Linked DNA regions of Tamandua tetradactyla. The protein of the gene in region 1 interacts with the protein of each later gene in a pairwise test. Links are inferred from orthologs where the notes say so. Each region holds a gene or a part of one and is shown in the gene's direction. Other genes may lie near its edges.

Region 1 (10,876 bases):
CTGGAGACCCAGGTTCGTTTCCCAGTGCCTGCCCACGTTAAAAAAACAACAAAAACAACAACAACAACAACAACGGAGCATGGTACCAGCACAATAGATATACTGACCAATGGAATTAAATTGAGAGTTCAGAAGTAGACCCTCACATGTATGTCCCAATTGATTTTTTGACAAGGCTACCTTAATTCCACTCAATTGGGAAAGAATAGTCTATTCAACAAATGGTGCTGGGAGAATAGAATATCCATATGTAATAGAATGAAAGAGGACCCCTATTTCATACCATATGCAAAAATTAACTCAAAAATGGATCAATGACAAATATAAGAGCCAAGGATAAACTTCTAGCAGTAAATGTGGGGAAGTATCTTCAGGATCTAGTGTTACGCAATGGTTTCTTAGACTTTATACCCAAAGCACAAGCAACAAAAGAAAAAATAGACTCCTTAAAACTAAAAACTTTTGTGCATCAGAGGAATTTGTCATAAAAGTGAAAAGACAACCTATTCAATGGGATAAAATACTTGGAAACTACATATCCAATAAGGGTTTACTATCCTGAATATATATGATAAAAAGAGAAACAACACAATTTTAAAATGGGCAAAATATTTGAATAGACATTTCTCCAAAGATATACAAATAGCTGAAAAGCATATGAAAAGATGCTCAATATCACTAGCTATTAGGAAAATGCAATTTCAAAATCACGAGTTATCATATCACACTAAAATAGCTACTATTAAAAAAAAAAAACCAGAAAACTGCAAGTGTTAGAGAGGATGTGGAGAACAAAGGAACACTTATTTATTGCTGGTGGGGATGTAAAATGGTATAGTCCCTGCAGAAGACAGTTTGGAAGTTCCTTAGGAAGTTAAATATAGAATAACCATATGACCCAGTAATCTCGCTACTAGGTTTATATCCAGAAGAACTGAAAGCAGGAACTCAAACAGACCTTCACACATCTGTCACATATATTCATAGGGACATCATTCACAATTGCCAAAAGATAGAAATAACCCAAGTGTCTATCAACTGATGAATGACTAAACAATGGATGGATATCCTATGTATGTACATAGAATGGAATATTATTCACCTGCAAAAAGAATGAAATCCTGATGCATGCAACAACATGGATCAATCTTGAGGACATTATGGTGAGTGAAATAAGCCAGACACAAAAGAACAAATATGTATGATCTCACTTGCGTGAAGCAATTACAACAAGTAAACTCATAGTTAGAATCTAGAATAAAGATTACAAGTGGATAGACTGGGGTCAGTGTATGAGGAATTGATGCTTAATTTGCACAGATTGATGGTACAGGTTTGGAAATGGATGTTAGTGATGGTATCACACAATTGTGAATATAATTACAACTCTCAAATATATAGGTGAACGTGGTTAAAAGGGGAAATTTTAGACAATATTTAAATGAAATGTTACCGGAATAAAATTTAAAAGATAAAACATAGGGCCATATAGGATGGTGAAACTTACTGTAGATGATGGACAATAGTTTATGATACAAGAATCTTCTTTCATGAATTATAATTAGTACAAGGTGTTAATAACAGGGTGATATATGGAGAAAAATATACCTAATGTAAACTCTGGACGACAGTCAATAGTCCTATTTTAATAATTTTTCATCAAGTTCCATGTCAACGCAAGGTATAAGTCATGGGGTGGCAAATGGGAATCCTGTATTTTATGCATGCTTGGTCCATAAACACACAACTTCTCTAATTGAAAAAAAAAGTTTTCCTTCAAGAAGGGTAAGCTAGTCTTGTCTTTCATAACAAGCCTGTACTATTTGCTTTTTTCCAGAATAGGCGTTATTTTGATGCGCATTTGAAAAAGTATTTAAATACTTCCCCATCAACATACAAATAATTCACAACCTTCTACAAGGCTATCCCAAATCTGTTCTTGGGTGACTACTGACCCTAAATTCCAACTCAGAGTAGGCATTAAAAATTAGACCGTTACAGACAACATATTAAAAGACAGAGATTGGAAGACACTGACTCATCTCACTATAGAAAAACAGACATTAAGCAGAAAAAAATTTACAAAATACAGAAAGCTCCTCTAGAAAGTCATTTCTCTCCAACATTCTCATGACTCTGATATACTCATGCTCAGTATCAATATTTATACTGACTACCCATTCTCTGTAAGAGAGAGAAAATACTATCACTCCAGACGCAAAACAATCGAGATGCACTTATAGGTAGAAACATTGTACAAAAATCTGATGAAACAGCAAAACATTCTCCCTAGAATTCAATACAGAACTAGGAAAATCCTACCTGAAAAGGGGAATCCTGTGCCAAAAGAGATTTTTCAGTCCTCTTTAAATTCCGCTGCTGAGCAATGAAGCAAATCAGATGGTTTGTTTCAGGAGAGCCCCGAACACCAATTGTAGAACGTCGTCTGGATTTTTTAAGGTAAGATGATGCCTTTCCTGTAATGAAAACTCTTTTAAATTAAAACAAATCAAGGCAATTATCAGTAATCAGGTCCTAAATTCCTATAATGGACAAGATTGATAGAGAAATCAAGATTGATAAACACATCACAGAAATTTAAGCAGAGAATTACTGGCAAAGATCTTTTTTTGGCCCACTGATTTATTCGACGTACCCTGCATAGAAGACTTATATTAAATAGTTGTTGAATGAATACATGAACACGTTTTAATTAATGGTTTTCATTTTTGTTCCCTATCCCCTGAACACAGAGGTGGGGTAATGGCTTGCTTTTGACTAAGAATTTCTTTTTTTTCTAAATCAGTCAGCCTTATCCCTAAGGACTGAAAGGGAAGGATCTCTATCTAGGGAATGTACTCTTATAATAATTCTTTAAGATAATTTCACTTCTGTTAGATTCCTATCCCCCTTCAGCACAACACCCTGAATTTTGGCCAAATCTAAGCATACAGAATGAATCTAGGTCTAAGAGTGAAGTTTTTGAGACGAGTACACAGAATGACATGCCACCTTGTTTTATTCACATATTGCCTACTTAGTCTAGTGCCCTACGCCTTTCAAGTTTCCCATTGTCATTCATTTGTGAATACAGCTAACAGAACTCCATTCCCATATTCCGTCTCCATCTAAATCAGTTTCACAGTTGAATTTCTACTCCTTGGAATTAAGCGTTTAATTGCTTTCTAATTTTATTTTTGCCATTCATGAATATAAAATGTTTTACTATAGATAGCATGCATCCTCCTGAATCCTCACCTTTCAGATCAAAAAGAGAACAATATTCATATTCTTTCCCAGTATGAAGACAGGGCACAAATCTGACTTAGGAAGATTATCATGTCAGGTGTCTTGGTATCCTGCTATGCTAGATTTGCTGTGCAGGTACATAAAAGTCTTCTACAGTAAGGAAGTGTACAGTCAATCAACGTAGATGCACAATATAATAGTACAGACAGGGTGGAGGAAACCAGTTGAATTGTATTAGCTATTTTTAAACTTTAAAAGCAGTGCATTAGAATGAAAATTTATCTTACCCGACAAGTCCTTAACAAAACTTTCAGGAGTAATTCCTAATTGTTCTACAGTTACTGTAGAAAAGTTCAAAGGTGATTTAAATGTATCTGGTGTGCAAAAATTAGAAGTCACTTCTGCTTCATGCTTCTGAGGAGTTACAAGCTTCCCATTTGCAAAAATGAAGGAAGTATCTTCTGAAACAAACAGCAATATATTGTAGAGGCTAAAACATTATCATCAAGTAGTTAAGCCTTAAATTTCATAAAAGTGTAAAAAAATCACTACATACCAGTGCTCTTAATAGCAGATTCCTTGATTTCAGGTTCCTTGCCTTTTGAATTGGTGTCCATCTAAAAACGGGTGAGTGGGGAAGAACCCCACCCCAAACGTAATGTGATTAGAGCAAAATCTCATTCAAGACTGAATTCCAATACAATTCTATACTGGTATGAAAACAGATGTCAAAAGCGTGCTTTTCGGGCTCAAATTTAAAAAGAATGGGGGAAACTGTGCAGGATGAAATAAATTAGACCTCATCCCATATAAGCCCTGGCTTATCAACATCTGATCGGTCAGATATGAACGTAATAAACATGTGAATCATCTGGGTACCCCGTTAATAAGGCTGCAGTTCCGTGGACTCCCAGAACTTTTGATTCAGTCAATGTGGATGGGACCTAGGAATGTGCATTTTTAAAAGCATCCCAGGTGATCTCGAGCAGGCTGCATCAGGACCACTATCTCCGAAGGACGTGATAAACCGAGGACACTCTCAAGAAACAGCACAGTTCTCCAGTATTTGAAATTCAAATCACAACACTTGCTACCTCTCACCTTCGTAACTTCGGTCTCCTCCCGCTTCGGCTTATTTCCCAACCTCAGCAGCAGACAAGTATCGACGTCAGGAAAACTAGGATGAGGGCCCGATATAACGTCTTCTATCTCTTGAAGCTATCATGCCTTCTAGACCTCGGCTGTTTCATCCTCAAGGTTTCGCTCGAGAAAGCAAAGGTTGCCTGCTAAATCAGGAGGCAAATGCGGCGTCACGATAACGGCCACTTTTCTCTCCAGCTCCTCCGGACCCCGGAGGCTCCGGACGCCCGAAATCCGAGCCCAGCGTAGCCGCGCTCTCCACCCTCCCGCCCAGCGTCCCCGCGGCCGCCTCGGCCCGCCGCTCAATTCAAATCGCCGACTCCGCCTCCTCGGCGTCAGAACTTTACCTCCACGAATCGCTACGCCCGCCACCACCGCACGTGTCTACTCACACCCCGGGCTCCTTCAAGCTTCTGCGTCCTCTGACTCGGGAAGAGGAGTGGCTGCCCGCGCTAGAAGAGAAGCCACCACTAGCTGCGAGCGACCCACTCACCACAGAAACCAGCTTTTAACTGTGTCTGTGGGGACTACTCTCTGGGAAAGTCTCGCGGAGTAATCCTTCCCACGAGCACCGCCCCCGACCCTGCGGTTGGATACAACAAAGTTCGAAAAGAATCATTGGACCAATCATGAGAGAATGACGGGCTGGCGCTTACCCAATCAGCCAGTTCCGCCGGCAGCCGTTTCCTCTGCGGGTTGGGCGAGTGGGCGGGGTTAGAGGGGGGAGGCACTGACTGGTGGAGCGCTAGAAGAGCGCCCCACCTCCTTTCCTCAAACCGCACCTCCGTATGCAAATAAACTCTTCTCGCGCTACCCATTATTGGGTTTGCGCCTGCTCAATAATGTTTTGAGCAGCGGTTCGGCTCCCCGTTCTGCTCTAATTGGCTGATAACCCTTCCCCTCTACTAGTCTTCAGCTTTTCTCCCCTCCCTCCACCCCGCCTGGGTTGGTGTGAGCTGCCCAGTGCCGGGCAATGATTGGTTGAATTCTGGCCGGCCCTGCCCTTTGATTGGCGAAGGTTAAAGTCAGTCTTGGAGGGTGGGGGAAGGGCCCGAGGCAGGTTGAGGAGCGTAGGGGCGGGGTGGGGAGGAGGACCGGCCAACCCTGGGGTGTGGGACAGAGAGAGATTGTGTGCGTGTGTGTGTCTGTGAGTAAGAGGAGGAAGGTGGCGAAGGGAGGAGAGTCCGAGTGGGTGGAGGGAGGGGCAGGGCGGGAGAAGAAAAAGGTGGGAGGAGAAAAAGGTGGGAGGGTGGCGGCTCACTCAGGACCCGGTGGGGGCAGCGCGATGAGGCGGGTGACCCTGTTCCTTAACGGCAGCCCCAAGAATGGAAAGGTAAGGGGTTCGGGAGGAGGCGAGGCGGGGCCGGCTGCGGGGGGCCAGGGCAGCGGAGGACGGAATGGGCGCGCAGGGAGCCGGAGGGCAGAGGGCTGAAGTTGGATAGAGGGGCCGGGAGGTGGGCGTGCTCCCGGGGCGCGGGCGGGGGGCGTCCCGAAGGTGAAAATCGCTTCCCCGGGCCTCCCCCATCCCGGGGCCTGCACTTCAACTCCTCAGCTCCCCGGGGCCCAGGTCAGGTCACGCTTCTGCCTCAGCGTTCTCAAATCTAGGATGTGGGTCCAGGAGAGTGGTGGGGACGGAGGGCGTGGGGAGGGCCGCTGTCACTTGCGCGCTGGGTGCCGAGGGTCCTCACCCACATGGCCCCGAAGACCCCGTTCCCCCCGCCCCTGGCCCCGCTGGGCTCCCGCAGGGCTCGTTTCCACCTTGGTGCTGAGTAATGGTCTGCTGCAGAAAGTGGTAGTAATAACTAAGTCATGTAAGATTGATTAGGTAAAAACAACTCAGCTATCAGTGGCTAAATAAAATATTTTTTCAACTAGGTAGAAGACAGGATAAAAAATTAGGATTTTTTTTTTCTTTTAGGCGCTTCAATCCTCCTAGTCTCGCTGGCGTCAAACTTCTGTACTTGTTTTATTTCGCCTTATTTTAGTTCCTTAGAGGACTTGTGCCAGTAGACCAAAATGGACTGGTTTGCTGTGTTAGGCCTTTATTGAGGGTGTGGTACTAAATATTTTTCCAACGCTGCAGCAAGCCAAAATGAATCCTGTTCCTTCTCAGCCTCTCGCCCCACCCATGCAAGTCGGTCGGCTTCTTTGGAAAATTTGACTATTCAAGGCAGAGAATGTATTGTGGGGCTAAATGATATGGAGAAGTAGTTTAGGCTTAGATTCTAAGGTAAAGGTAAGTTAGTCTCACTGAATTATTTGCTAGAAGATTTTGCTCCCTGCATATTCTGGAAACATTGTAAATGTTTAAATAGTGAAAAAGGGCATGGTATAAAAAATGGCTTTCAGCGACTATGCAGTTTCAAGTAAACATGTTCTACAAACTTAACCACCATGTAGTTTGCTGACCATAATTTTGTATTCTTCTAATCTTTTAGATTTAATACTCATACAAATACAGAAATGGCATGAATTCAAGTTCTTGAGTTTTCCATAAATACTGACTCAAATATACGTCACAAAATTTACATTATTTATGATCGTTATTCACTTTTTCTATCCCTTTTTTTATGGTTAGCTACTGCTGTAATTTAAAATTTATATTGTCCTGCAAGTTTTAGTATATGCGGAGTTGTAGTTGTAATATGTTCTCAAAATAGACCACTGTTTGACTTTTTTTTTAATCCAACAGCTTTGGTGTGTTACTCCATGAAAGGCAGATGTTTAGACCTAGTCATAAAAATACTATGCACGAAATCTCTTCTGAAAGCCCTGAATTTTATGATCATCAAAGATTGGTTGAGTTGTCTTTCAATATTTTTAACAACAATTTTTAAAGCTATTTAGTTTTTACTAGCTTAGATTTTCTAATTTATATTTTATTTACTTTAAAAATATTTTAGTAGAAAATCTCAAAAGACTGGAAAAGATACATCTGAAACAATTAAAAATAAATGTTTATATTTCAAAGATTATACAGATATAAACTGGAGATTACTGGTAAGATTCAATATTAAAAATAAGCCATGTATTTCAATACTACTCTAGTGGAGAGCATATTCTAAGAAATCTTTTCTCTGAATTGCAAAAGTTGTCGGTGTTTCTACTCTTCACCCTTCAGCTAATTAATAAACAATATAATTATTCTTATTTGACAAAGCATGCAGAATAACTTCCTGACAGCCTGCTTTTTTATATAGAGAGAATACTTAGTTAGGATTGGCATGATCATGACATGAATGTTCATTGAGAACATGCTGAAGCAAAGGGCTGCTTCAAAGAGTTTGATTTGCCATCCACCAGTTGGAATATCTGAATCACTTTCATTGTTTTCTTATTTAACTAGTTTCAGTTTTTGTGTCCTCCTCAGGAGAATAATTTTTTTTTTTCAAGTAAGGTTTCCTCCCATAATACTTACTTAGTACTTGCCACATAGGGGGCCAAGAAACCTGAGAGTGGGGATGCACAGAGTTGTTGCTGAGGCCTATATCATATGCTAACCATGAATTATTTGTGTACTAAGTCAATACGCACTAGCTAGTACATGTTTTTGATGTGAACAGTGGTTTCCAGAATGCAATGGTGAACCACAGAAGATGTGCAAAATGATCCATTGGGGTTGAGGAAGATATATTATACCTTTTATTTATATTTTTTACTTAAAAATATAAGAAATATTAAAGCTTGATTTTACCTACCTGGAAAGACATAGGTGTCTTCAATCGCTAAATGTGTCAGCTGATAACAGATCTTCTGTGAAAAGGGAGAGCGTTCACATGTGAAAAAGTTGATATTAGCTTCTTCATTGATTGATGTATTGAAGTTAACAAGTGCCAGGTTAAGGTTTATATCATCCCATTTTAAACTAACCCTCACCAAGAACCCAAATGGCTTTTAAAATTTACTTCATTGAAACTGCACATTGAATACAATATTAATTATGCAAACACAAGTAAACAAAGAAAATGGCAAGAGCTGGCACTTCTTGTATAAATTCTTTCTCCATATATTAGGAAATAAAAACAAAACAGTCTATCTCTTGGATATGAGAAGCCAAAAAAAAGTCAAATTTTAAAGAAAACTTTGAAGTCCTATTTAATATTTGCTATTAACAGTAAATACCTCCTTAAGTGTATAATGTTCTTTGAAATATTAGCTAATGATAGGAAAAGGGCATCCCAATAAGCAAGACATTCAAAAATATTTTCTAGCACGTGATGACAAATGCCTTCAGATATTTAGTTTTGTTTTCTTTTTTTTTTAATAAACTCTTGGGGTGCATGGGTGATAGAATGCATCCCTTCTATGTGAGAGACCCAGATTCAATTCTCAGACTGTGCATCTAAAAAAAAAAAAAAATTAGTCTTATATTTGGCAGAATTTCACTGTTTGATGATAAATATTTCCAGGCTTTTTATTGGCAGCCTCAAAGTACAAGTGGATAAAAATCCTCCTATTAGTGGGGAAACATTCTTTCTGCTGGTAGTGTGTAGCTTATAAGTAAATAAATATATTTGAGCACATGGCCCAAAATGTTTTATTGATGGGGTGCATGGTTAAAAACATTTGAAAGCCATACATCTAACTGATTGGGACCTTAATATTTTTTTTTTGTTACTCAGAGTGCTCCAGTGAAAATCAGTTATGCTTACATCTTTTATCCTTTCTTCATATCCCTCAGACTTCTCATTGTTCTCTGATAGTCACTAAGAGTTGGTATTAAGGAAATTGAAACAAAGACGTAGGCATCTCAGTGTAGTCAGCGAGTGGCATCTGAGCACCCTGCCAGACATTGCAGACGAAGTGGCACATGAAACACATCTTAATTCTGTACTGTTTTATATCTTTACATTCTTGGTCTAGGAAATAACCTTTATTCTAGGTTTGAAATTAAGTAAAAAATGTTTTGCTCCTATTAACTATTCAGTTTGAGTCCATTATATTGTTAGGGTTGAGGAAAGGTAAAATCTGTGTGAACCTTTGCCTATGGAAATGTATGCACTACTAAAAATCTTATCAGTTACTATTTGTAAATATTATTTCTAGGTATAAACATTTTAAAATACATTTAATGCATACAAAAGAATACAATATAGAATATTAATATACTTAAAAATAGTGTAAAACATAGTAAACCTGCTACCCAACACAAGAAATAATATATTAGCAGGAATTTAATGTGCTTATCCATTTTCCTGTCGCCCTCCTCAACCCGCTTCTCCCTCAAAGGTAAAAGTTTTCATAAATTTTGTATTTCTCTTTGCTATGTTTTTTCCCCTCTTTTAAATCAGTTTTACCACATATATGTTAATATCTAAGCTGTGTTTTTTGTTTTGTCAGCTTTGGGGCTTTAGAAAAATACTATTTTGTAGTCTTTTGGAACTTCCTTTTTCTTTCAGTATGCTATTACTAAGATTCTGTCCATAATTTCTCAGATGATAGTTTTTTCACTTTCAAATGGACTATACAAAACATAGTCCTTTGTCTAAAAGATTGCTACCACAGTTTGACCTTTCTTCTGTCAATAGATATTTGAATTGTTTTCTTTATATTTTGCCATTATATTTACAATGCTGCCATGATATCTCTGTATATATGTATCCTGGGAGGCGCATGCAAGAATTTTTCTAGGGCAGTGCTTTCTCAGACTAGCTCGCATTAGCATTGCCTAGAGGACTTGAGAAAACACCTTGCTGGGCCTCACCCCAAGAGTTTTAGATTTAGGAGTTTTGGGGTGGGACTAGGAATTTTCATTTCTAACAATTTCCAGGTGATTCTACTACTTCTCATCTAGACACCACACTTTAGAGAATCACTGCTTAGTGATACTTCTTAGTTCTAATAATTGGGTATTAGGGCATGTGAATGTTCAGTTTTACAAGAGAATACCAATTTCAGAATGGTTGCGTTAATTTAGACTTCCACCAGCATTGTATAAACTGTCCCGTGGATCCACATCTTTTCCATTACTTGAAATAGTCATACTTAAATATTGATTAATATTTGCTTTCTTGACCTAGAGTTAATTATGTCATCCTTTTTAGGAAAAAAATCATTTTTAAGTTTTTAAAAATGTTTAAACTGAAAGTGTAGGTAGCAGAAGTTGAGTTTTTTTATTATGGTCTGTGTTTCATTTGTGTAAATCTTCCTGCATATATTTAGCAAATGTTTATTGGTTGCATATTATGTAATGGCTAAATACATGTGTAAGTTTTATTTTAAAAATTGAGTAACATAGGTTTCAATTTGAAAATAATGTTTATAGGCAAATTAAACTGATATGAGCATCAGTTTAGCTAACCATGGTAAACCATATATTTTCCCGACTGGTAGATAATATTCACTTGTTATAGTATCTGAAAATTAGAAAGGATTAAGTATGAGTAGTAGTATAATATAGTGGTCATAAACTTTAATAGTCATGATTCTTAATTTACTCTGTAGAATGGTTTTATTCTGAGAGGATATAAACTGTTAACATGGATGA
Region 2 (11,513 bases), about 130 Mb from region 1:
TGAAAACCCGGAAAAATCCACAACAAAACTACTAGAGCTAATAAATGAGTACAGCAAAGTAGCAGGTTACAAGATCAACATTCAAAAATATGTAGCATTTCTATACACTAGCAATGAACAAGCTGAGGGGGAAATCAAGAAATGAATCCCATTTACAATTGCAACTAAAAGAATAAAATACCTAGGAATTAATTTAACTAAAGAGACAAAAAACTTATATAAAGAAAACTACAAAAAACTGTTAAAAGTAATCACAGAAAACCTAAAAAGATGGAAGGGCATACCGTGTTCATGGATTGGAAGACTAAATATAGTTAAGATGTCAATCCTACCTAAATTGATTTACAGATTCAATGCAATACCAATCAAAATCCCAACAACTTATTTTTCAGAAATAGAAAAACCAATAAGCAAATTTATCTGGAAGGGCAGGGTGCCCCGAATTGCTAAAAACATCTTGAGGAAAAAAAACGAAGCTGGAGGTCTCACGCTGCCTGACTTTAAGGCATATTATGAAGCCACAGTGGTCAAAACAGCATGGTATTGGCATAAAGATAGATATATCGACCAATGGAATCGAATAGAATGCTCAGATATAGACCCTCTCATCTATGGATATTTGATCTTTGATAAGGCAGTCAAGCCAACTCACCTGGGACAGAACAGTCTGTTCAATAAATGGTGCCTAGAGAACTGGATATCCATATGCAAAAGAATGAAAGAAGACCCATATCTCACACCCTACACAAAAGTTAACTCAAAATGGATCAAAGATCTAAACATTAGGTCTAAGACCATAAAACAGTTAGAGGAAAATGTAGGGAGATACCTTATGAAACTTACAATTGGAGGTGGTTTTATGGACCTTAAACCTAAAGCAAGAGCACTGAAGAAGGAAATAAATAAATGGGAGCTCCTCAAAATTAAACACTTTTGTGCATCAAAGAACTTCATCAAGAAAGTAGAAAGACAGCCTACACAATGGGAGACAATATTTGGAAATGACATATTAGATAAAGGTCTAGTATCCAGAATTTATAAAGAGATTGTTCAACTCAACAACAAAAAGACAGCCAACCCAATTACAAAATGGCTAAAAGAGTTGAACAGACACCTACCAGAAGAGGAAATATAAATGGCCAAAAGGCACATGAAGAGATGCTCAATGTCCCTGGCCATTAGAGAAATGCAAATCAAAACCACAATGAGATATCATCTCACACCCACCAGAATGGCCATTATCAACAAAACAGAAAATGACAAGTGCTGGAGAGGATGCGGAGAAAGAGGCACACTTATCCACTGTTGGTGGGAATGTCAAATGGTGCAACCACTGTGGAAGACAGTTTGGCAGTTCCTCAAAAAGCTGAATATAGAATTGCCATACGACCCAGCAATACCATTGCTGGGTATCTACTCAAAGGACTTAAGGGCAAAGACACAAACAGACATTTGTACACCAATGTTTATAGCAGCGTTATTTACAATTGCAAAGAGATGGAAACAGCCAAAATGTCCATCAACAGAAGAGTGGCTAAACAAACTGTGGTATATACATACAATGGAATATTATGCAGCTTTATGACAGAATAAACTTATGAAGCATGTAATAACATGGATGGACCTAGAGAACATTATGCTGAGTGAGTCTAGCCAAAAACTAAAAGACAAATACTGTATGGTCTCACTGATGTGAACCGACATTCGAGAATAAACTTGGAATATGTCATTGGTAACAGAGTCCATCAGGAGTTAGAAACAGGGTAAGATAATGGGTAATTGGAGCTGAAGGGATACAGACTATGCAACAGGACTAGATACAAAAACTCAAAAATGGACAGCAGAATAATACCTAATTGTAAAGTTATCATGTTAAAACACTGAATGAAGCTGCATCTGAGCTATAGGTTTTTTTTTTTTTTTACTATTATTATTACTTTTATTTTTTTTCTCTATATTAACATTCTATATCTTTTTCTGTTGTGTTGCTAGTTCTTCTAAACCGATGCAAATGTACTAAGAAACGATGATCATGCATGTATGTGATGATGTTAAGAATTTCTGATTGCATATGTAGAATGGTATGATTTCTAAATGTTGGGTTAATTTCTTTTTTTCTGTTAATTAATAAAAAAAATTACTGTGGGATTTATCAGGGTCCAATCTGCTCTTGAAACCCTCCTGGGAATTTTTCATTTCAGTTATTATGGTCTTCAACTCTAATAGTTCATTTGGTTCCTTTTAAAATTTGCCTCTTTACTTAGACTCTCATATTATTCATTCATTGTTTTCCTGATATCTTTTAGTTCTTTCTCTGTACTTTCCTTAAGTATTTTTTAAAAATAGGTTTTGTTTTGGCATAGGCAGGCTCCAGGAATTGAATCCGGGTCTCCAGCATGGCAGGAGAGAATTCTGCCACTGCTCCACTGTTGCACTGCCCTCCTTAAGCATTTTCTTTTTGGCATGGGCAGGCCCCAGGAATTGAACCCAGGTCTCTGGCATGGCAGGTGAGAACTCTGCCTGCTGAGCCACCGTGGTCCACCCCCTAAGCATTTTTAAGATCACTTTTTCAAAAGGCTTTGTTTGGTGTATTCACATTCTTGTTGTCTTTGTTGGTATTTTCTGAATCTTTATCCTATTCCTTTGGATGGGCCATTACCTCCTATTTCTTTGTTTGTCTTGTACTTTTTTTAAACAGCTTGTACATTCTATATACCCTGAATTTTTAATTAAGGTTTCAAAATACTCTTGACTTAGAGTTTCTGAAGATGTAAATATTTTTGGAGGACCTTTTTATAGTACCTTATAGCCTGGAAGAAATGGCTTTCTCATCTCCCAGCCAGGTAGCATGTAGGATTAGAAAGTACTTAAAACTATAAATTAAAAATTTAATTTGTTTTATGGAGGCAGGCTATTTTTATAATGTATGAGTTTGCTAGGTAACTTTATGTGCTTTATAGGCATTAAAAAATTATTTTTTAAATGTTTTTTCTTTGGGGGTGGTGATGCATGATCCGGGAATCAAACCTGGGTCTCCCGCAGGGAAGGCAAGCATTCTACCACTGAACCACCTGTGCGCTCTAAATTTCTTTTCCTGTAAAATATAACATATATACAAAGCAAAGAGAGAAAAAAGCAATAGCTTTATACACATTTAAAATTATTTCTGGATGGGCCACAGTGGCTCAGCAGGCAAGAATGCTCACCTGCTATGCCAGAGGACCCAGGTTCGATTCCCGGTGCCTGGCCATGTGGAAAAAAAAAATATTTCTGATATTGATAGTGCTGGTTTCTATTCATTTACCAGTAATTCTGTTCAGCAGGAAAATATCTTTTGAACATTTGCTCCTTTTTGGTCTTTAATTTGTAAAACATTAATGTTGGACAATAAATAATGATACAGAAGAAAGCAAATAAGCAATGGATTTTGCATAATGCATGGGAAATGAGGGGGTGCAAGCTATCGCAGGCCAAGAGTTCCTGTTATTCAGTAGTGTAGCAGGCAGACCTTGCCCTCTTTCTGGTTTAGCTGTGCTCTCTGTGGAAAATCCCAAAACCCCCTCTCCTTGCAGGCAAGTGAGATAAGATAAGGTTCATTTCCTGGTATAGAAACCCCCTCCCCTAGCCTCCAGGAACTGGTAATAATGCACATAGGCAAAAGAAGACATTCCTGGGGTGGGGGGCCCCTCAACCATTCAGCTCTGGGCCATTCTCAATTTAAATCAGCCAATTGTGTACCTTGTCTTTAACATGTCAAAAAGTCTATAAAAGCTAAGGTTGCCTTTTGTTCAGGGCTCAGACTTTTGAGGTGACTTAGCTGGGCCCTCTTGCACAAGAGCTAATAAAACCTACTTCCCGAAACTGGGGATCCTTAGTCTCAGCGTTTTCTAACTTCGCGGAACATTCCTGGAGGCCTATGGCCTCGTTCCTGGTTTTTGCGCTACAGTAGGATGTCCTTTGGACCACCTGTGGGCTACATTGCAGAGGGCTCATCTTTCTTTTCCTCCCTCCCAAAGGTCTCAAACAGCTTAGAAGGATGCTGAACATGATGATTGATCTTGATTTTTGCTATTCATCAACTTTTCTTGATCTTGCTGTCTGATTCCATACATTTCAGAATGGTCAAGGGATTTGTAATAAACTTGGCTTGTGTTCATTTTATTAAAAAATAAGCTCCAAAAATATCCATAAGTTGTGCTACTGAAGTTCCTTTAAAGACCTATACCAGTGTTTCCATAGTGTGGGTCATCCTGAAGTGCTAACATGAGGGCTGGTGTCCACATTGTACATTTTAATATTTTGAAACGTTACCTCTGGGATTTATTTTCTATGATGTCAGCTTTTTGGTTTTTTAAGCAGGTGTTGATAAAGCTGAGACCTTCTTGAGCTTCAGCACTCCTATGAGGAAGATTTACTCAAGGTAAATGCAGGGTGCAAGGTTTTCCCTGTCTTTCTGGGCCTCTTTTCATCCTGGGCTTTTGCATGTTAGTTTTTTGGAGTTCCAGTTATTTACAGGAGTTTGGTTGTTACCTCTTCCACCCAGGAGACAGACATCAGTCTCACTGGTACTTGAAGCCAGTAGTCCTTTTTTCCAGGGTGTCTGCCTCTGTAATATTTTATATTCCTTGTTTTTTTTTTTTTTTTTTTTCATGCTGCTTTTGCCTGGAGGACAAATTCTGTGAGGATGGTCATCCCAGTGGGGACTTTTCTAAGTCACTCTTTCCCAGCCAATACAGGTGGTGGTGGGGGGACCTACTAAAGTGGCACAGATTGTCTCCAAAATGCCCTGGGGAGATGATCAGGAAGGGTACCAAAATTCTCTCTGATGGTTCCAAAAACTGCAGTTTCCTGTCCTGCTCAACAAATGCAATCCTTTAGCTAACTGTCCCCAACAGTCCTGGGGAACCACAGTGTCATTAAATGTCTACCATCTCCATCCCTTTCCAGGGAGGGTGAAACAATGGCTGCTGCATCCTTTCTCAGGGTGGGTTTGAAACAATGGCTGTCACCACCTTTTTCCAGGGCAGATTGAAACAATAGCTGCCTTCCTAGCTGGAAACCAGCAATCTGAATATGCTAATCAAAAGCTGCAATCATTGATAGGCTCTGTCTACTACTGTTCTTGGGGAAGAGGATTTTTAGGTCCTTTTCTGTCACCAGCAGCTAGCCAGGGATTGTACCTGGCCATGGCCTGCCACGAAGGTGAGGGATGAATTCAGGTAGTTGCTGCACAGAGAGAGCAATTTACCATTCTTTATTGTCATTTATCAGTCTCTTCATCCTGCTCTTCCCTGGATGCTGTATGGAGTTCTTCTGGCCTTTGGGGTTTCAAAATAGTTGTTTCAGGTAATTTCTGTCTGTTTAATAGTTGTTTTGGTGGAAGGTCTGAGTCCCAAGTGCCTTTCTCCACCATCTTCCCTGGAAGTCTCTGGTTGGGTAAGTTTATTTTGAGGTTTGATCAATTTAACTGGATATTGAAATGGAGAGATTATTCTGCATGATATGCTTTGGCCCTTAATGTAATCACAAATGTCCTTTAAGAGGGAAGTAGAGGGAGATTTTACTACAGAAGGCCATGTGATGAAGTGATGATAGAAGCAGAAAGAAGCAGAGTTACCTGCCGGTTTTGAAGATGCAGAGAGGGGCCACAAATCAAGAAACACAAATGGTTCTAGAAGCTAGAAAAGGCAAAGAAACAGACTCTTCCTTGAGGCTTACAGAAGAAACTGGTCTTGCTGACACTTTGATTTTAGCCCCATAAAATTCATCTCAGATCTCTTACCTCCAGAGATGCAGGAAAATAGATTTGTATTGTTTTAAGTGACTAAGTATGTGGTAGTTTGTTACAGCAACAATAGGAAAGTAATACTCTGGGTCAAAGAATAGAAATAATATTTAAAATTTAATAAGTCTTGATAAATTATCTTCACGGCTTTGAAAAGTGCCACTTTCCTTATCCATGAGAGCATAGTATATTACTAATTTTTACGTTTGTCAACCAGTTCTGTAAACAAATTCTGCCTCCTGCTCTAGAAAGGCAAGTTTGCTTTGGGTGTTATTTTATGGAGCTTGTTAAAAAATGGCAAATCAATCTGTAAGTGATTTTAATATTTGACTTCTGGGAACTTGCTATTTAATGCTGGAATTGTTACTTCCTCACTCCAATTAGAAACTCTTCCTGGTTCTGGGATATTAGGAAGTCCCAGATGAAATGGTGATGGAGGACCGGTGGGGATTTCAGAAGAATGAGTGTGGTGCAGACAAGAGAGGATCCCAGAATATATGCATGTAGTACATCATTTTTTAAAAAAACTTTTTTATTGTATAATGTAACATATATACCAAACAAAGAAATAAAAATAGCAATAGTTTTCAAAGCACTCTTCAACAAGTAGTTACAGGACAGATCCCAGAGTTTGTCATGGGCTACCATACCATCATCTCAGATATAGTACATCATTTTTTTAAAGTCAGTAAAGAAGCAAAACTTACTTTTATACACACCTGTATATAAAAATCCCTTTTGCCATATATATAACGTGTTGAGTGTGTGTGTGTATATATGAGCATACACTCTAATGAAAGTAGCAGTGGAAGGAAGAGGGGAACAGGCAGGGCATGGACTAGACACACGGGGTTCCACAGTGTGGTGGGCTCACTGTTATTTATCACCTCCTCAATTATTTACATATTTATATATACGTTTGTTACCTAAATTCTTTTGTATGTATCAAAATTAATATTCAATAAAACATTGCATGAGTTATGTAATGTGCTTTTATGATTGAAAAACAAAGCCAGAAGGACATAGAGATGGTAGAAAATATGCTTTGAAAATGGAGCCTCAAGATTAAGCCCAGGGGGAAAAAAAAAAAAGATTAAGCCCAGAAATTGACAATTGAAAGAGACACAAACTATTTCATCAAGCTAACTTTTCCAGGTGTTACTTGGAAAAGCTAACAGGTGGCAGATAATTGGGTAAACTCACACTAATCATGAAACTGAAAAAAAGAGAACCGTGTTTCTATAAAACTCAAGCGTCGGTAAATCAAGGGACTGATAATTTGAGTAGAACCTTCTCAAAATCAGTTTTCACGCTGGGTTACCATCGAGATGTTGAGTCTGCGCAAGACGTTGCCCTATGCAAAAATGGCGGTTCGGGTTTCAAGAATTTAAATGTTCAAGCGCATGTCCGGAAGTTACGCCACTCCATAAGATAGCGCGCTCCTACCGTGGGGAGAGTTTCCGCCATTTTTGAAAATCGTGAAGGTCCTAAGATAAGTGTAGTTGCCGTTGCGATGGCAGCCTTTGCCGTGGAACCCCAGGCGCCCACACTTGGTGAGTGAAAAAGTGCTTTTTTTCGCTGGCACTGCGATCCACGCCTCAGGTCTGAAAGCGGGCAAGCAAGCCTGTAAGGTAGTGGTCTTCAGGCTCTGGTCCGCTAGCCTCAGTCGAGAAGGGGGAGGGAGCCCCTGGTTGCCTCGCGTTCCTAGTCCCCTTCCTGCCGGAGACTGAGACACCACTCCGCTGTCAAGGTGGCTCCGGGATTCCGCGGGCCCTGGAGAGGGTGAAGAAACGGCTGTCACGTGGTGATTGGGTAGGATTTTGTGCTTCCACATGCCGGCAGCGCCGCACTGGTCCTTTCCTGAATTTCGACTCGCACGGGAGAGGCGTAGTGGGTTCCTGGATCCCCGGAAGCGTCGGTGGGGAGGAACTGACTCGCATACACGTGGGTGGGCGGCGCCCTGGAGTGCCTGGTTGCTGTCGACCGCGCCTGGTCACCTAGGTTTCTAGTTCCTGTTTTCATTCCCTCCCTCTCTTGTTAATTTGAGGACGCTCTCGGGCTTTGCAAAAAGGAGTCTGTGGTTAATGGAAGTTTGAGTCTTGCGACATTTAATCAATCAGGTGATGGTAATTATTGGGATATTGATTATACTAGCAAGCCTGAAGTTCCCATGTTTTTTCCCGCCTTTATTTTGGGAAAATTTTGACTTTTAGTTTGTAGGTCATTTCCTCGAATTAGTCACTATCTGACTTTTCGAATCCACCTTTGATATTTATTGGGTAGCCTTGAAATGTGCGGTCGTTGAAGGGAGTCTACCAAGTCATCAGGGTGCTGATCCCCTTTTTGTTGTGTCGTGTGTCGTGTGAGAACCGTCAGAAATTTTAGGAGAGAACAGACCGCCTAATATCGTAGACTTACTTGAAAATTAGGTTATGATTTTTCGAGTTTAGAAAAGAGCAGAAGTGATATATATTGTGGAGAATGGGCTTTTTAGATTTAAAGAACAAGTTATGCTTGCCATAGCTTTTATGCAAAATATTTCGTTTGAGTATGGAGTTATGTAAACTATTTTAGTTTTAGTCTCATTACAAACAAAATGTATAACGTCAATAATGCAAGCACTGCTACGTTTAGACTTTTGTACGGATGTTGGTCTAGGTATTTACTTTTCCTGAGTTTTAGAGATCAGAAAACCATGTAGTTCCAGCTGCAGGTTGTTTTTTGTTTGTTTGTTTATCAAAAACATTTTGGAGTGTATGGTTGCTGGTGTTACAAAGATTAATGAAACCCTGTTTATTGCCTGGCTAGAAATCTGCTAAAACTGATTTTAATTCTTCAAGTCTACATATTGTAGATAGTTGAGGGGAGGAATAAACATTTTCCCAGCATCTAATAGTATATTAAAAGTAAAGGTTTACTTCAACAAACTGCTAACTGAGTAACATAGTACTTTCATTTGGGAGCACAGACTGAAATGGAATTTAAGACATACAGGATGCTTAGAAATTGGTTAAGCTTTTTAAGGGGAATTCAGCTTTTGAGGGGTGGTTAGTGACAGAGCCAGGATTAGGAGACCATTTGGTCCTCCTGACTCTTTTTTCTAGTGTATCATAATATATACTTATGTATATTGGAACTTTTCTTAATTCTTACAATCTTTATAAATTGTTTCTTTAGGAGATGGAGTAGTGATGGTATTTGGTGGTGTTACATAAAACTTTGTGTTTATTACTGTGGTTTTTAAAATGTCTGTTCAGAATTTTTTAAAAAGCCTCTTAAAAAAATTAGCGAAGTGTCACCTTAATTAAGCTTTTGCTTTCACTTTTGGCTTGCTTTTAGTATATGTTCTTTGGAAATGGGTAATAGTAACATAGTAACTAACAGTTAAAATAATTGCAATGTAATTATAGTTCTTCACATCTTATTTCAGTATTTATGTTATCCTTTTCCTGAATTTGCCTTTTTCCTCTTACACACTTGCATTGTAAAACACTAGTTCTGTTATAGTGGGAGATGAGAGAATAAATAATTGATAGGTGTTGGATAAAATGAAGCAAATATTTGAAAGTTAAAGAAAAGTGTATCAAAAGCCTGTGAATAATGTAAAAAACATTTGATCCTTTTGAGTGCTATGAATCACATTCAGGCTTGTCACATAGTTAAAAATTAAGTTTTCATAAGCAGGAATTGGAGATTTTACATTTGTACATTAATCACTCAATTTTTGCTATTATAGATTACTACTAGAATAATAATAACATTTGTTGAACACTTACTGCTGATTAGATACTGGTAAGTGCTTTACTTAGTGTCTTATTCTAAAAAAAAAAACACGGCATAGGTGCTATACTACACTATTTTGCAGAGAACTTGAACCAGGTCTCTGACACTAAAGTCTATTTTTTCTTTACTATTTTGCTCTGAAATTACAATATTATTTCTTCGTCTTTTTAATACCAGTAATAATGCCTACACTGTTGTGAACATTAATTATTTTAAAATTATTTATTTTTTAAAATGATAGAAAAACATTCCAAGTCTTTTAAATGTGTTTCTGAGTTAGGATATTAGGCATCATTATTATTGCATTAGTTGTCTAATGTTTACACTTTTATCATAAAAATGCTTTGCTGTTTTTTGTGTATGGGGAAAAAGGAGTGGGGCATTTGCCAAGCTAAATGCATGTGTCTGATTTGCTAAGACCTTGTATAAATAGTGTACCCATCCTCTGTTTTGTTTGCGACCAAACTGTAGAAACTAGCCAGAACTGGAAAGAAATTAGTGTGTATTAGGTTTTTTTTTTTAGATGTTAAGCTAATTTTTAATTTAAAAATAAGGTGTGGGCAGGCCACTTTTGCTCAGCAGGCAGAGTTCTCGCCTGCCATGCTGAAGACCTGGGTTTGATTCCCTGTGCCTGTCCGTGCAAAAAAAAAGTGTAGTTCTTAAACTTGTGGAAAAAATGTAAACAGAAACTGCTCTGATGATTAATATTGTTAATGCAAGATGACATGCTAGAGCCTTGCATCTTTTTGTTAGCTATTGTAGTAGAAAAGTTATTAACTTTTATTTTTGTTTTTTTTGATTCATATAGGATCTGAACCAATGATGCTGGGTTCACCCACCTCTCCAAAGCCAGGAGTTAATGCCCAGTTCTTACCTGGATTTTTAATGGGTGATTTGCCAGCTCCAGTGACTCCACAACCTCGTCCAATTAGTGGCCCTTCAGTAGGAGTAATGGAAATGAGATCACCTTTACTTGCAGGTAGGTAAATTACTTACAGTAGTTTTATAGTGATAACAGTACAAGTACTAGAATTTTAAAAAAGTATAGTGTACCTTTCATTATCATCAAAACATTTATTAATTTTAAAAAGTCAAGTATTGCCTCTTTGAATAGAGGTGTAATAAGTATAAGCTTCTTTAATTCCAAGAACCATTCATTAAAATGTACATGCTATATTTCATCTAATCAAAGATGCCATTGTTTGTACAACTTGTCATTATTTTATGTACCGTTAGGAAAGAACATTTTATATCAAATAACACCTTAAGGGCAATTTAAAAAAAATTTCTCTCTTTTTTTAAAAACTTTATCGAATCTAATTGAAGATTCTTTTATTTTCTTACCTGACTATTTTTGTACGTTGTAGGTGGGTCACCACCACAACCAGTTGTACCAGCTCATAAAGATAAAAGTGGAGCTCCACCAGTTAGAAGTATATATGATGATATTTCCAGCCCAGGACTTGGATCAACCCCTTTAACTTCAAGAAGACAGGTAATATATATACCCTCATGATCTACAGTTAATTTCATATATTTTTATGTAACTGTCCCGTGAGTACTTTTCAATAATTTGAAATGTTTCCCTAAAGTCTGTTTTAGTGTAACTGTTGCACAGAGTAAGCATTAAGTTTATCTATCATAGAATCTCCTTAACTTGTGTTTATCTTGAAATGTACTTAAAAATGTAGTAGACCTCCAGATGTTTTTCTCATATAGATAATTCTGTGGTGTTTATAGATATAAACACCAATCTTATCTATGTGCCAGTACTTCCAACTTACTTAATATATGTGTAGAATATGATTATGACTAAAGTCATTTCACTTGTTTAAAAACATAATCTCAAACTCTAGCTTTCTGACTTAGAATCTGAATTTTAATTCTGTGGGAGATTCAGTATTTTAAACAACTGCCTCCTACTTATTTATGAGCTGATTATCTA

Evidence for each region.
Region 2: the proteins of KCTD9 (region 1) and NUP35 interact in binary tests that used the Homo sapiens proteins (3 or more experiments, as listed by UniProt). The two-hybrid records come from large-scale screens. The link is inferred for Tamandua tetradactyla from reciprocal best matches to the Homo sapiens genes KCTD9 and NUP35.

The regions. Positions count from the first base shown.
Region 1 is NC_135329.1:26,401,400-26,412,275, reverse strand, and holds the start of KCTD9 (BTB/POZ domain-containing protein KCTD9), read left to right. Parts: upstream 1-5,418; 5' UTR 5,419-5,674; coding exon 5,675-5,722; intron 5,723-10,876. Other genes in the region: CDCA2 (cell division cycle-associated protein 2), read right to left, coding at 2,323-2,477, 3,537-3,710, 3,806-3,866. UniProt on the Homo sapiens protein: Substrate-specific adapter of a BCR (BTB-CUL3-RBX1) E3 ubiquitin-protein ligase complex, which mediates the ubiquitination of target proteins, leading to their degradation by the proteasome.
Region 2 is NC_135329.1:156,020,610-156,032,122, forward strand, and holds the start of NUP35 (nucleoporin NUP35), read left to right. Parts: upstream 1-7,207; 5' UTR 7,208-7,298; coding exon 7,299-7,338; exon of another isoform or gene 7,339-7,558; intron 7,559-7,774; exon of another isoform or gene 7,775-7,905; intron 7,906-8,439; exon of another isoform or gene 8,440-8,498; intron 8,499-9,521; exon of another isoform or gene 9,522-9,577; intron 9,578-10,376; coding exon 10,377-10,547; intron 10,548-10,935; coding exon 10,936-11,063; intron 11,064-11,513. UniProt on the Homo sapiens protein: Functions as a component of the nuclear pore complex (NPC).